Linked DNA regions of Oryzias latipes. The main gene of each other region encodes a partner of the protein of the gene in region 2 in a complex. Links are inferred from orthologs where the notes say so. Each region holds a gene or a part of one and is shown on either strand. Other genes may lie near its edges.

The links.
Region 1: the proteins of ube2g2 (region 2) and aup1 are in contact, whole or in part, in a crystal structure (PDB 7LEW), measured with the Homo sapiens proteins. The link is inferred for Oryzias latipes from reciprocal best matches to the Homo sapiens genes UBE2G2 and AUP1. Residues at the interface, in NP_003334.2 of Homo sapiens: Tyr13, Thr17, Pro20, Gly23, Ile24, Val25, Ala26, Gly27, Pro28, Met29, Asn30, Glu31, Glu38, Leu40, Met42, Glu45, Glu50, Phe51, Val53, Pro55, Lys156, Val159, Gln160, Ser162, Leu163, Leu165; in NP_853553.1 of Homo sapiens: Ser379, Arg382, Gln383, Leu386, Arg389, Lys390, Leu393, Tyr394, Tyr396, Ala397, Arg398, Arg400, Phe401, Thr402.

The regions. Positions count from the first base shown.
Region 1 is NC_019868.2:26,073,190-26,079,654, reverse strand, and holds part of aup1 (ancient ubiquitous protein 1), read left to right. Parts: intron 1-389; coding exon 390-540; intron 541-913; coding exon 914-1,101; intron 1,102-3,044; coding exon 3,045-3,117; intron 3,118-3,655; coding exon 3,656-3,729; intron 3,730-3,865; coding exon 3,866-3,932; intron 3,933-6,465. UniProt on the Homo sapiens protein: Plays a role in the translocation of terminally misfolded proteins from the endoplasmic reticulum lumen to the cytoplasm and their degradation by the proteasome. Plays a role in lipid droplet formation. Induces lipid droplet clustering.
Region 2 is NC_019879.2:26,799,467-26,805,285, reverse strand, and holds the end of ube2g2 (ubiquitin-conjugating enzyme E2 G2), read left to right. Parts: intron 1-1,826; coding exon 1,827-1,945; intron 1,946-2,998; coding exon 2,999-3,139; intron 3,140-3,211; coding exon 3,212-3,324; 3' UTR 3,325-3,679; downstream 3,680-5,819. UniProt on the Homo sapiens protein: Accepts ubiquitin from the E1 complex and catalyzes its covalent attachment to other proteins. In vitro catalyzes 'Lys-48'-linked polyubiquitination. Involved in endoplasmic reticulum-associated degradation (ERAD).

The sequences.
Region 1 (6,465 bases), on a different chromosome or scaffold from region 2:
TCTGATTCGTCTGGATTACTCTTTTGACGGGTTTATAATCTTCATACGCCGTCATTAAAATCTCAGACTCCGTCTCACTGAAGTATAGCGCTCTCTTTTTTTCACCACGCGTTTCCATGGTGACTCCGGAAATCGGCGATCCATTGAGAATGTCTTTATGTACTTGCCGTGCACTTGCATTAACCCAGGGCGTAATTACGCTAACTCATATCCGGTCATTAAAGTCATGGTAGTTTAAACATGCTTTCTGGAATACACCCCAGAGTTAGTTACCAATCTGCTCTGCAGATGGATGAAGCCACCTATTGGTTTTAATCAAGACTACGTGCCAAATTCTGATTTTTCTTTGTACTTTCGGCTGTTTTCAGTGAAATATTGTTTCCTTTCAGATTTATTGTGAGGGTCATGTGCTCAGTCCTGGGGATGCATGTGAGACAGAAAAACCCTCGGTCCAGAGACAGAAACATCAAGTTGTACATATGCAATCACGTAACAGAGTTTGACCACAACATATTCAACCTCCTGACCCCATGCAATACAGTAAGTGCTCACAATTGTACAGTTATACACATTTGAGCAGTTCTTCAGTGGGAAATCAGGTTGTTGTTAACAAAGTTTGAAGACTTTTATTCATTTGTCAGTTTATGTGTCAACAGCGTTGCTTAAGTTTTGAAATTTGCACATTATTGTACGAAACACACATTTAAAAGAACTGAAATCCCGTTTTCTTCTCCAAAAATGACTGTGGATGTCAGGGTATGCTATTAGTGGAGTAGATGTCTGCAAAAAACATCATATATTTTCACCTGTGTATAAAGTTTTTACATTTTTCTTGCTTCAAGTGTTTCTGTAACTGCACCTTTTCAATATAGAACAGTAAATACCGTCTTTGTGCTTTTTTCATGCTTTTCAGCCGCAGTTAGAAGGCTCCACGGGCTTTGTGTGCTGGGCCAGAGGCTTCATGGAAGTCCATTCTGCATCTGGCCGGGCAGCGATTGGAGAGTCTCTTCAGAGATACTGCTCCACTGAGGGCACCCAGCCGTTGCTGCTGTTTCCTGAAGAGGACACCACCAACGGACGTGCTGGTCTCCTGAAGTTCAGGTTTGTGCCAGCCTTGTTGTCCTCTAGATAAAGCAATAGTACCCTCAGCATTTCTTGTTATGATCAAAAAGCCTTCTTTGAATGTGGAGTTAAATGCATTAATCTGGACTTTTAAACCTGCACATCCCATTCTGTTTGAAAACAACCTCCATCTGTAGATGCACAGACTCTGAATCTAAAGAGATTATGTGCAGAAAGCTTTCCTGCTTGCTCAGCTAATTTGTTGTTTTTGTTTGAAGTGCTGCTTTGAATTTCAGCAGATAACTATAATAATCAGGACAGAAACACTTTTTTTCTATGTGTCATTATATTTCCATGCGTAGTTTTCTATCTATGTTTAGTTGTTTTTTTTAATCTTTTTTATTCAGGATAATACAAATATGAAGGTGAAGAATTGAGAATAGCGGCAGAGCTTGATTCATTTGTTCTTTAGTTTGGAGAACCTCGAAATGATCACAGATTTTCAGTGAAACCAGAGTTCAGACGTTCGGTTTCTGCACATAATTATCCTACAGTTTGAAGCTGCTGCTTGTTTGTTCTGCGTTAAAAAAAACAAGTCAAGCATTTTTTTATATAGAGCTAATCATACTGTACACCAAAATAATAATAATAATAAATAAAAATAGAAATCCTTTTAATCAATCTAGGTAAACATTGGGCTGAGTGTGGAATACATTTGGTAAGTGGAAATGCTCATTTTTGGGACCTCCTCCTCTGGGGATAGATGCACATGTTATGAATATTAAAATGAATAATTAATAATTATGTATACTCATAAGACATCATAATAAAATTCATTAGAAGCCGAGCTAAATAAAGGCTGCCAGGTTGTTCTGATTTTCAGACGAGACAAAAAATAGGATACAAGATTTGTAGAAAACACAACATTACTGTAACATTTTCATTACAAATGTGTTCAAATTAGGTGGTGTGCTTCACTTCCAGTTTGTGGGGAAAAGAACAAATTTTTTTGAGGTTTTCTGTTAAACACAGAGGATTATTAAGAGGCTCAAGTTCTGTTAGATGCTGACGACCATGTTTTTGTTTTCAGCTGCTCTGAATCTATTTTGCTGTTTATAGCTAAACAAGCCCAGTTAATGACCGGCGGACAGGCAGACGGACGGACGGGCGGGGGGGCGGGCGGGCGAGGTGGGCGGGCGGGCGGTCATTTGTTCATCTGAGGGGAATCTTTGATCCCACAAATATTTGAAAAGTGACTATTAAGATTATTAAAGGCAGGATAAATCCTGTTACTCTAATTAACACGACTTTAGAGTTTATTTGATATTAGACTGAATTTCTTCTGGATATTGAAACTGCTTTTGTTCTCAAGCTGCTTCTGGTTTTACTGTATTCATGACTTCATGATTCTTACGCCTCTGGGGAAAGCAGTGCGGTATAATACTGTAAGGCAGCTGTTTAAAAGTGTTGCCTTGATTCATAGTTGATGACCATAAAAAATATTCTACTCTACAAGAAAACAGAGAAAAATGTAAGAAAGTTGGAATTTTTCTGTTTTTTTAAAATTAAAATAAAATTATATAAATCATCTTTTTGACACAAAAGCATTTGATTAAACATCCTAGCGCATTTAAAAGAAGGGGAACAAGTATAAAAACATCTCAGACTTTCACTTTAATGAGAGCATCGTTATAATTTAAGACGCTGCTGTTGTGTTCCAGTGTGTTGTGTGTGTTACCTGTTCTTGAACATTCACGAAGAGGAAGTGATGGCAGTGCAACAAAAGAAGAAAAGCCCAAAGAACAATGTAGAGACCAAACACACGAGTCCCAATGAATTTGCTTCACTGCAGCTTTATTGTGGGGATGTAAAGAGGAAAAGCTGTCAGCATCCAAATGTTTAGGACGCTGTGTTTACGTTGAAGAACCAGATAACAAACAAAAGATTACATTTTATATTTTGACATTGGTTTTGTCTTTCAGTTCTTTGCCTTTCTCACTGACGGAGTCTGTCCAACCTGCGGCCTTACGGGTGACCAGGCCACTGGTGTCCCTGGTAAGATCTTCTGTCTAGATATGTTGGTCGTCTTATTAGATACATGTATGCTCAGGTGTTGGTTCTCTTCTTAGAATCAAGAAAATCTCACAAAGGCCACAGAATAACTTAACTATCAAAAGGGAAAAAAAGCAACCAAAGAAGATCAGACAATTAATCACTGTTCTATAAAATGATAAGATGTGAACGCTAAAAAGATGGAGATCAATTGACTTTAAGGACATTCCTATATGCTTTTTAGATGATTTTTGATGTTTGTGTAGCAAAAAATAATCAAACGTTGGAACAAAATGTACAGATAGTCCTTTTTTTTTAATGGTTTATTTCAAGCAATCAAATAGGAATACATTTTTAAAGAAAGTGATCCAGTTGTGGAATATTGGTTAAAAAGAAAATCGGTGAATCGTCCTGGAATTTACTGGAAATCGTTTAGTGTCGCCTGTGTTTTTCTAGATTACCATAATTTCTGAATTCCTGCATTTGTGGGATAGTTCGGAGAGCTGAGCTCCATGAACCGTCGTGGTTTTTTCCTCCACAGAACACAGCAGAGTCCAGTTGGCTGGTGGAGCTCTTATGGACCTTTTTTGTTCCATGTACAGTGTATCATGTAAGGTACTAACTCATTTGTGTCTTTATTTCTGCCATTTTATAATTTTAGATTCATGTGAAACTTCAGAGTTTTTTTTTCTTTACAACAAGAAAGTAATTGGATTATTTACAGTTTGAATTTTTTAATTTGTCTTTCCAGTTGGCTCCCACCGGTTTCCAGACAAGACGGCGAGTCTGCACAGGAATTTGCCAACAAAGTCCAGGAGGTAAGCTCATACAATTTGAAAAGAAAAGGGAAGAAGAAAAAAATCCCAGATTTCAAGATGAGGCCAATTCTTTGGTGTAGAGAGTGTTTTCACTGACGTCACAGATCCAGTCATGTTGGTCATATCCAGTTGTATCAGATTAGCTATGAAAGTAAAAACGAGTTGTATAGATCAGTGGTCACTAACCGCCGAGGTGCAGACCGGTACCGGTCCATGGGACAGTTGGTAACGGGCTGCAGAGGGGAAAAAAACGTGACCTACATTTTTTCCATTTTACTTATAATCTGGTTCTGAAGGAAGTTTTATTTTTGAAAACGTCTGGATTCATTCTTGATGCCTGCCAAGTTCAATTCAATTCAATTCAATTCAATTTTATTTGTATAGCCCAAAATCACAACAACAGTCGTCTCGATGGGCTTCGAAGTAAAACATGAACTCAAAAGGATCACGAATACAAAGAGTTCAATAGGAAAATACTAAAATGAACTAACAAACTTACTAAGCTATACTGGCATCCCTGCCCTTAGACCCCCCTTCGCGGTAAGGAAAAACTCCCAAAAAAAACGGATTCCGGAAAAAACGAAGAAACCTCAGGGGTGCCCACATGAAGGAGGGATCCTCCCCCAGGACGGACAGGCGATTTACCAGAAATCTTAGAGAAGAATTAACTTATCAAAATCTACAACTACATATATAAAAGTCCAGCAGACGAGCTTCATCCAGCCGTGGTTGTGGGGACAGTCAGGGGAGCCGGAGACAGGATCCACAGCCAGGTGTAGGAGCAGGAGCGAAGGCGAGGTAAACGGTCAGGAACTGGAGCACGGATGAACCAACTGGAATCTGGAAGCACTCCCACTCCCCAGGAGGGGAGAGGAAAAGAGGGACAATACATGAATCGCACGGCACCAAACAGAGGCATGGAGAACTAAATGATAAATTATGATCAAGAATAGAGGAGAGGAAGGGTAGAAGTAAAAAAGGAAAGAGGACAGAACCCCAGTGCACCATAGTTACCCCAGCTTCAACTTCTAGCAGCCTTTAAAAATAAATAGTTATTAAGTTTAATTTAAACAAATTAACATTAAGTTAAATAATCTCTGAATACTAACTAGTCTGACAATAAGCCTGTCCAAAGAGGAATGTTTTCAGTCTAACTTTGAATGTAGAAACTGAATCGGCCTCTCTTACATGAGCTGGGAGTTTATTCCATAAGACAGGGGCTTGGTGGCTAAACGCTCTACCTCCAACCGTACTTTTACTAATTCTAGGAACCACAAGCAGTCCTGCATTTTGCGAGCGAAGTGTTCTGATTGGATGGTAAGGGACTATGAGGTCCTTAATATAGGACGGGGCCATTCCATGTAAGGCCTTATAGGTTAACAGGAGGATCTTGAACTTGATTCTGGAATCAACTGGGAGCCAATGGAGCGAAACTAACACAGGAGTGATGTGATCTCTTCTGCTAGTTCCAGCTAACAATCTAGCTGCTGCGTTCTGAACAAGCTGGAGACTTCTTAAGGAACTCTTAGGACACGCTGCTAACAAGGAGTTACAGTAATCCAGCCTCGACGTAACAAATGCATGGATGAATTTTTCAGCATCACTCTTAGAAAGTATATTTCTGATCTTAGCAATATTCCGCAGGTGAAAAAAGGCAGTTCTGCACGCCTGAGATATGTGAGCCTTAAATGATAAATCCTGGTCAAGTAAAACCCCAAGGTTTCTAACTGTGGAATTGGGGGCTATACTTATGCCATCCAGGGAGACTATCTGAGCAGACAGAGTATCTCTGAGGTTTTTAAGACCAAGTATAATGACCTCAGTTTTTTCTGGGTTCAAGAGGAGGTAATTAATTGTCATCCAGGTCTTGATGTCACTGATGCAGGCGTTCAGTTTCTCTATCTGGTCATTCTGGTCAGGCTTCATGGATAAATACAACTGCGTATCGTCGGCATAACAATGAAAATTAATGCTGTGTTTCCTGATTATGTTTCCTAGGGGTAGCATATAAAGCGTAAACAGGATCGGTCCCAAGACTGAGCCCTGTGGGACTCCATAGTTGACTCGAGTGCACTGAGAGGAATGGCCATTTACATTAACGAACTGATACCTATCAGACAGATAGGATTTAAACCACTGGAGAGCAGATCCTCTGATCCCTATGTCCTGCTCTAATCTATGGAGTAAAATACCGTGGTCGATAGTGTCAAAGGCTGCACTGAGGTCCAACAGGACCAGAATAGAAAGTAGTCCCTTTTCTGAGGCCAATAACAAGTCATTAGAGACTCTAACTAGTGCAGTTTCCGTACTGTGGTGAGGTCTAAACCCCGACTGAAAGTCTTCAAAGTGGCTGTTCTCCTGTAGGTGGCAGTAAAGCTGCTTAACTACAACTCTTTCTAGGATTTTAGAAATAAAGGGCAGGTTTGATATCGGTCTATAGTTGGCCAAGATGCTAGGATCCAAACTGGGCTTTTTCAGAAGAGGTTTAACAACTGCATATTTAAAAGACTGTGGCACGTAACCCGTTTCCAGA
Region 2 (5,819 bases):
TGTCATTACCTGTTGTTACACATCCAAACAGGAGGAGACGTGATCGGACTAGAGCTAGCATCTACCATCCTCCTTGAGGGCAAAAGAACTCTGAGAACTTGTCCAAAGATTGTCTGCATGGAGCTTCAGGCCAGAAGACGAAGTGCTGCGTCAGCTGGGAGTCCGAGTCAGAAATAACCTGCAGATCAGATCAGGGAAGGAGGACAGGCGAGATCTGAGATGAGGTCAGATATGCAAAGGTCCTCCAGAGCTCAGCTTATCGCTCCGTCAGAAACTTTCTGTCTGCTGCGATTCTGCGTCCGTTAGAGGATCTCTGATAACATCGGCAAGCTTTACTTCCACTTTGGTGAACGCAAACGGGTGCAGATTAAACGCAGCAGCGGTTTGCTCTTCCACTGATCTTCAGGAGAGCTTCTCCAAACCTCTCTCTCCATGTCACCTGAAACCGGATCTCACCGCTTCCGGCACCAACAACCTGTACAGTCAACGTGTCATTAATCTGGCCTTCAGACTTGAACTGTCTTCTTTAACCTCGGATACCTGAAGTCTGACTGCCAGCCTATCCTGAAGGACATCTTTCCACAGACACTTTGGAGGACACACGGATTCCAACTCGGGTCCTCTGAGCCATGAAACAACCACTGAGCTATGAGTCAAAAATGAAAAACTGATGGTAATGAAGGACAGAAAAGACCAACATCATTTAGTCCGTCTAAGGTTGTATTCAGACCGGACACATTTGTTTTGGTTCGCCTTAAGTAAACCAGAGTTCATTTACCCCAATTATCAGTATGAATGCATCATAGAGGACTCTGGTCCGGGACCAGGAACCACTCTCGGACCCATCTGACGAGGTGGTCTCGGTCCATTTCCAATCAGACTGAGCTCCGGTTCACACTCAGTCTAAATACAATCCATTCCCAAAGCACAACAACAGGACCAAAACGGCCACCGTAGCCGACGTAAACAGAGTAGGACTGAAGCAACGGATGAGCTGTGGACAAATATGAAGCAACGATTGCCGTGTCATCAAACAGAAAAAAAGGTCCAACTGTTTATTTGTCAGAACGTATGCTGTAACACAGGCGAAGATCACTTCTTCCATGCTTTTCTTGCATGCTTCATTCTGTTTCCCGAAACAGAATTCTCTTAAAAATCTGACATAAAACCACAACGATGAGACACAGCAACTCATTGAAATGTGGTCGGATGAATGCAGGCTCATCATTTAATGTGATCCACTTTGCTTCTCACTGTTTTCCCAACAAACCATATGTCAAAATCACTTCATACCCGACGTCTCCTCATCACTGCAGTTGCTAATATCCTCGCGCGCCACGCCTCCTTGCCAGTGACCTGCCTTGCAGCGTGCCTCTGCCGTACCAAAGCTTTGGTCCGGAGCAGAATGGTCCGCTTGATGCCAGTCTGAATACAGACCAAACGCAGGGTTCAGGACTCGATCCGGAACAAAGGATTTTCCTAGTCTAGACATACCCTGAAAGATCAGCTGGTGGAGAAAAGCTCTCAACATTTCCACAACAAAGACCAGAAAATAGTGGAGACTCTATTTTATCCCAACACGGTCTTCTGAGACTTGTTGCTGATTTTCTTGCTGTTCGTTTTTATTACGCCATGAGGAATACAGTAGCAGCAGGAGGATCCAACTACAAGGTCTGTAGGATCCTCTCCACAAGTCCTCGCTCTCTGGTGTTTCACGGAGTTTGAAGCTTCTCCAGGCGATGGGTTAGCCTCCAGTGTCGTTGTTGCGTTTTCTTGGTGTTTGGCGTTGTGAGGCTCTCACCGCCGCATGTGCGTTTGTGTTTCAGGGGCCCCGAAGACACGTGTTTCGAAGGCGGAGTGTTCCCCGCTGTCCTCAGCTTCCCCTCCGATTATCCTCTCAGTCCTCCCAAGATGAGGTTCACCTGTGACATGTTTCACCCCAACAGTGAGTCCGCCCACGGCTTTGTGCCTGCTTTCGTCACCATGGCAACAGATGTTGAGCGCACAAACCTGCGACCGCTTTAAGTATCTGTGATGGAGCAACGTTTGATTTCATCTTCTTGATGACTCAGGAAAACTGAAATTTGGATCTTAAAACCTCCACTCACACACGCACACACACACCCCTACACTCACACACGCACACACACACACACACCTCCACTCACACACACGTCTTGTGTCTTAGCCCGTCTGCAGACTTGTCTCGGCACGCTCCAGAGCTTGTTGCTGTTGGCGTGTTTTTACCGCTCTCTGATTAGTGGGGCCGAAGCCGTGATGTCAGGACACGAGCGCTCTGAGCGCGCTCAGTGCTGATGAGAAGACGAAGTGCTTGTCGCTCATCTTCACCAGCATGGCCCTGAGCCGAACTCCACGCTGCAACTGTTAAAGATGAAACGGAAGCTGCCGATAACAGCGGCTCGGTTTTCAGAGGAGATTTCCTGCAGCTGGACCGAGCGGCAGCGCCCTGAAACCCCCTGCACGGGGAGGGGGTCCAAACAGGATCAGATTAAAGACCCACTCCAATAGAATATGTGGTTTTGGTGTTTTTAAAATGTTTTTGTTGCATTTTTCTTGTGATAGAGGACATAGAGCATCGAAGCTTGTAACTGCCTTTCTTAGTATTTATTAATTTAAATCATGGTAAATCAGGAGCAGATGACAAAACAAAAACGCTCTCAGTTGTGATGTAGAAACTCCAAGGGGCAGGCTAAAGTCTCACTGCTCCACTCTCTTCCAATGCACACACTTCTGGACGACTAGATCCATGAACGTCCTTAAAACTGTTCGGCGGGAAACATCCAACATTTTTCACCATATTTGTTGCACCTCTCAGCTTGGGGTTGTGAGGGGCTGTAAGCTAACGGGAGAGAGTGTAAAAAAATAAAAGACGATACGAAATGAAATATAATCCCATTTAGCAGTTTAAAAAAAAAGTTGCTAAGAGTTCAGAGAAGCTAGAACCGGTGAACTAAAGCGTTCTCCTCCCCCGCCCCAGTCTATCCCGACGGACGGGTGTGCATCTCTATCCTCCACGCCCCGGGTGACGATCCCATGGGTTACGAGAGCAGCGCCGAAAGGTGGAGTCCAGTCCAGAGCGTGGAGAAGATCCTGCTCTCCGTGGTCAGCATGCTGGCAGGTATGGAACTCGTTTGCGTCTGACACCAGCAGGGACTCGGCGCCATTCACAGATTCAACCTGTCGTCCTCAGAGCCCAACGATGAGAGCGGCGCCAACGTCGATGCCTCGAAAATGTGGCGCGAGGACAGAGAGCAGTTCAACAAACTGGCTCAGAAGATCGTCCGCAGGTCTCTGGGTTTATGAGGAGGACGTCTCGTCAGGGCGTCTGTCGGTGAAAGACCATCACCATGGAAACCACCAGCACACAGAGCCGCTGACATGGACAGACTGATGGGAGGGTGCTCGTCAAGGCGCGTCAGCAGCCGTACACTGCATGTCTTCTTACCTCCTCTGCTAGTCTCCTCCCCCAGACTCTTGCTTTAGTGGTCACAGCGGCGTTGGACTTCTTCGGACTTTTTAGACTGTCTGTCTTCGTGACGCAGGATCCTCACGATGCGCAGTTGGGCTTTCACAGCCGGGCCGTCGTAGCTCTGCTGCAACGTCTCCTGTGGATTTGTCTGATTTCACAAATAGATCAATAAAGGCAATGAAAGAGTGAGGTGCTTGTTATGTTGGTTTACTCTCTGCAAAATGTGAGGAAGTGTGGGAATCTGCAGCCGTGAATCGCTGCATAACTTCAGTCAACCAGGAAGGAGGTGAGCAAAGAGGAAGACAAGACAACACAAGACTCTTCAAAGTTCTGGATCCTTCAGATTCTCCTCAAACCCTGTCTGAAGGTTGATCTGTAAGTCACAGTTTCTTAAAGTCAGGTGTTTAGCTTTCAAGCACAACTAAGATTTTAGACCTTTGAGTAATCTTACTAGGATTACAGTTTATTTAAAGAAAACTTGTTGCAAGTATTTCTTTATCCATTTTGTGCTGACTCAGAAGCAGATGATAAAGATGTCCTTTGAAAAAGCTTGTAGTTGTTACATAAATACTATAATCAGTTGGTCTAAAGCTCCCTGCTTCACTGCATTCTGATGCATCCACTTGCAAACAAATAGATCCTTCGTTTTCCTCGTCCGAGCTGGAATCTGGCCTAAAACTGTACGTCTGGATAGCTCCAATAATACTTGCCATTTTTGTCGCACTGGTTGGGTTGGGGTTGGTGATGGGCTCGCGGGAGAGAATGTAAACAAAGGGATGATGGGACATGAGCACAGGCTTACTCCTCGCCAACAGTCCCGCCCCCAACTCAGAGGTGATTTGCTAATAAACTACAGACACTCTGCAGAAACTATGTCCTAGAAAACAACACGATTTTGATTAAAACCAGCAAAGTGGTAATTAAAAAACCACTGGAAGCAAAAGGAATCAAATGTTGATCAGAGTGTGACTTGAATTAACAACTTTTACAGCAAGAATCAAATCAAACTGTATCTGTACATTAAAGCACTTTACATACTAACGCAAAGTGCTTCACAGGCATGAAATTAAAAATAAAATTATAAAAAAATACATAATGCTCCCAGCACCCAACATAATGAAAGCCAAAAGGACCCATAGAAAAGGTTAAAACGTATTAGAAACAGAAACCAGCCTGGATGCAGTTGTGAAGAAATTATATTCTAGGAATCTGTCCGCACCAGCGACCGACCCACTCGTGATCTAAGAGTATAGTAAATCGTAAAGTAGTTAAGTAAATCTTAGTGCACATGAAGCTCAAATTCATATATATATAGAAGGAGGACTCCATAAAAGTAAAGTAAATCTAAAGGTCCATTAAAATCTGATCTGAGCTGAATTTTTTGGTCCCATAGTTTTTAAATTTACCTTTAATAATGAATTCAATTATTTGAGACTTTTTTTATTTGTTAAAAAAAAGAAGAAGGAAAACGTGGAAAAGACAGTGAAGCACAGGACTTCCCAGGGATTACAGGTTTAAGTTTAAATCTTAAATCCTCAGACATGTTAGCAGGAGTTTGCCACGAAGAGATCTACAAAATAAAAGAAAAACATTTAAAAATATCAGATATTTCCTGGAATCTTGAGCTTTTCCTGATGAGCAGCAGATCTGAACCAACTAATTTAAGGAAATACCCAAATAATCGCTTAATTTATGGCTTATACCAAAATTATGCACTTAAACCTATAATCCCCAACAGAAAAGAAGTTTCTACATTTTATCCCATAAAGACTTGTGATTTACTGTCTTTTCCAAGAAGGTTTTTTCCCAAGAAATTGTCAATAATCTAATTAGATTTAAGATTACAAGATGAGATCAAACTCAAAAGATTCAAATTTAGAGAATCTTTTCAGTCTTTTGTTGATTTATTATATTTTTTAATTATAAGAAATAACAGAAAATGACATTTGTAAAGAAAGATGGGACTTGGACAGAACAAGAAAATACAAAAATACACTTTTGTTCTGTAAATGCATTTTAAAAATGTGGAAAAAAAAGGTATTCATTTACTCAATGGATGACTATATAAATAAACAATAAAAACATTTACAGTTTGGAACTATTATAGGTTTTCAGTTAAAATGTCCGCGAATTCTGAGCTGTTTAATTATTCAAACCGACTAGAAAAGACTTGAGGTAACAACATACAGCCTTTAATGAAATGAATGAAGACATGAGCTCTCCAAAATTCAAGCCAGTTGCTGCTGTGATGAGCTGAATGCATCAGAAATCATGAAAAACAAACAAGGGAATAAAAGCACATCATCAACAAACAATTGAGTATTTATAT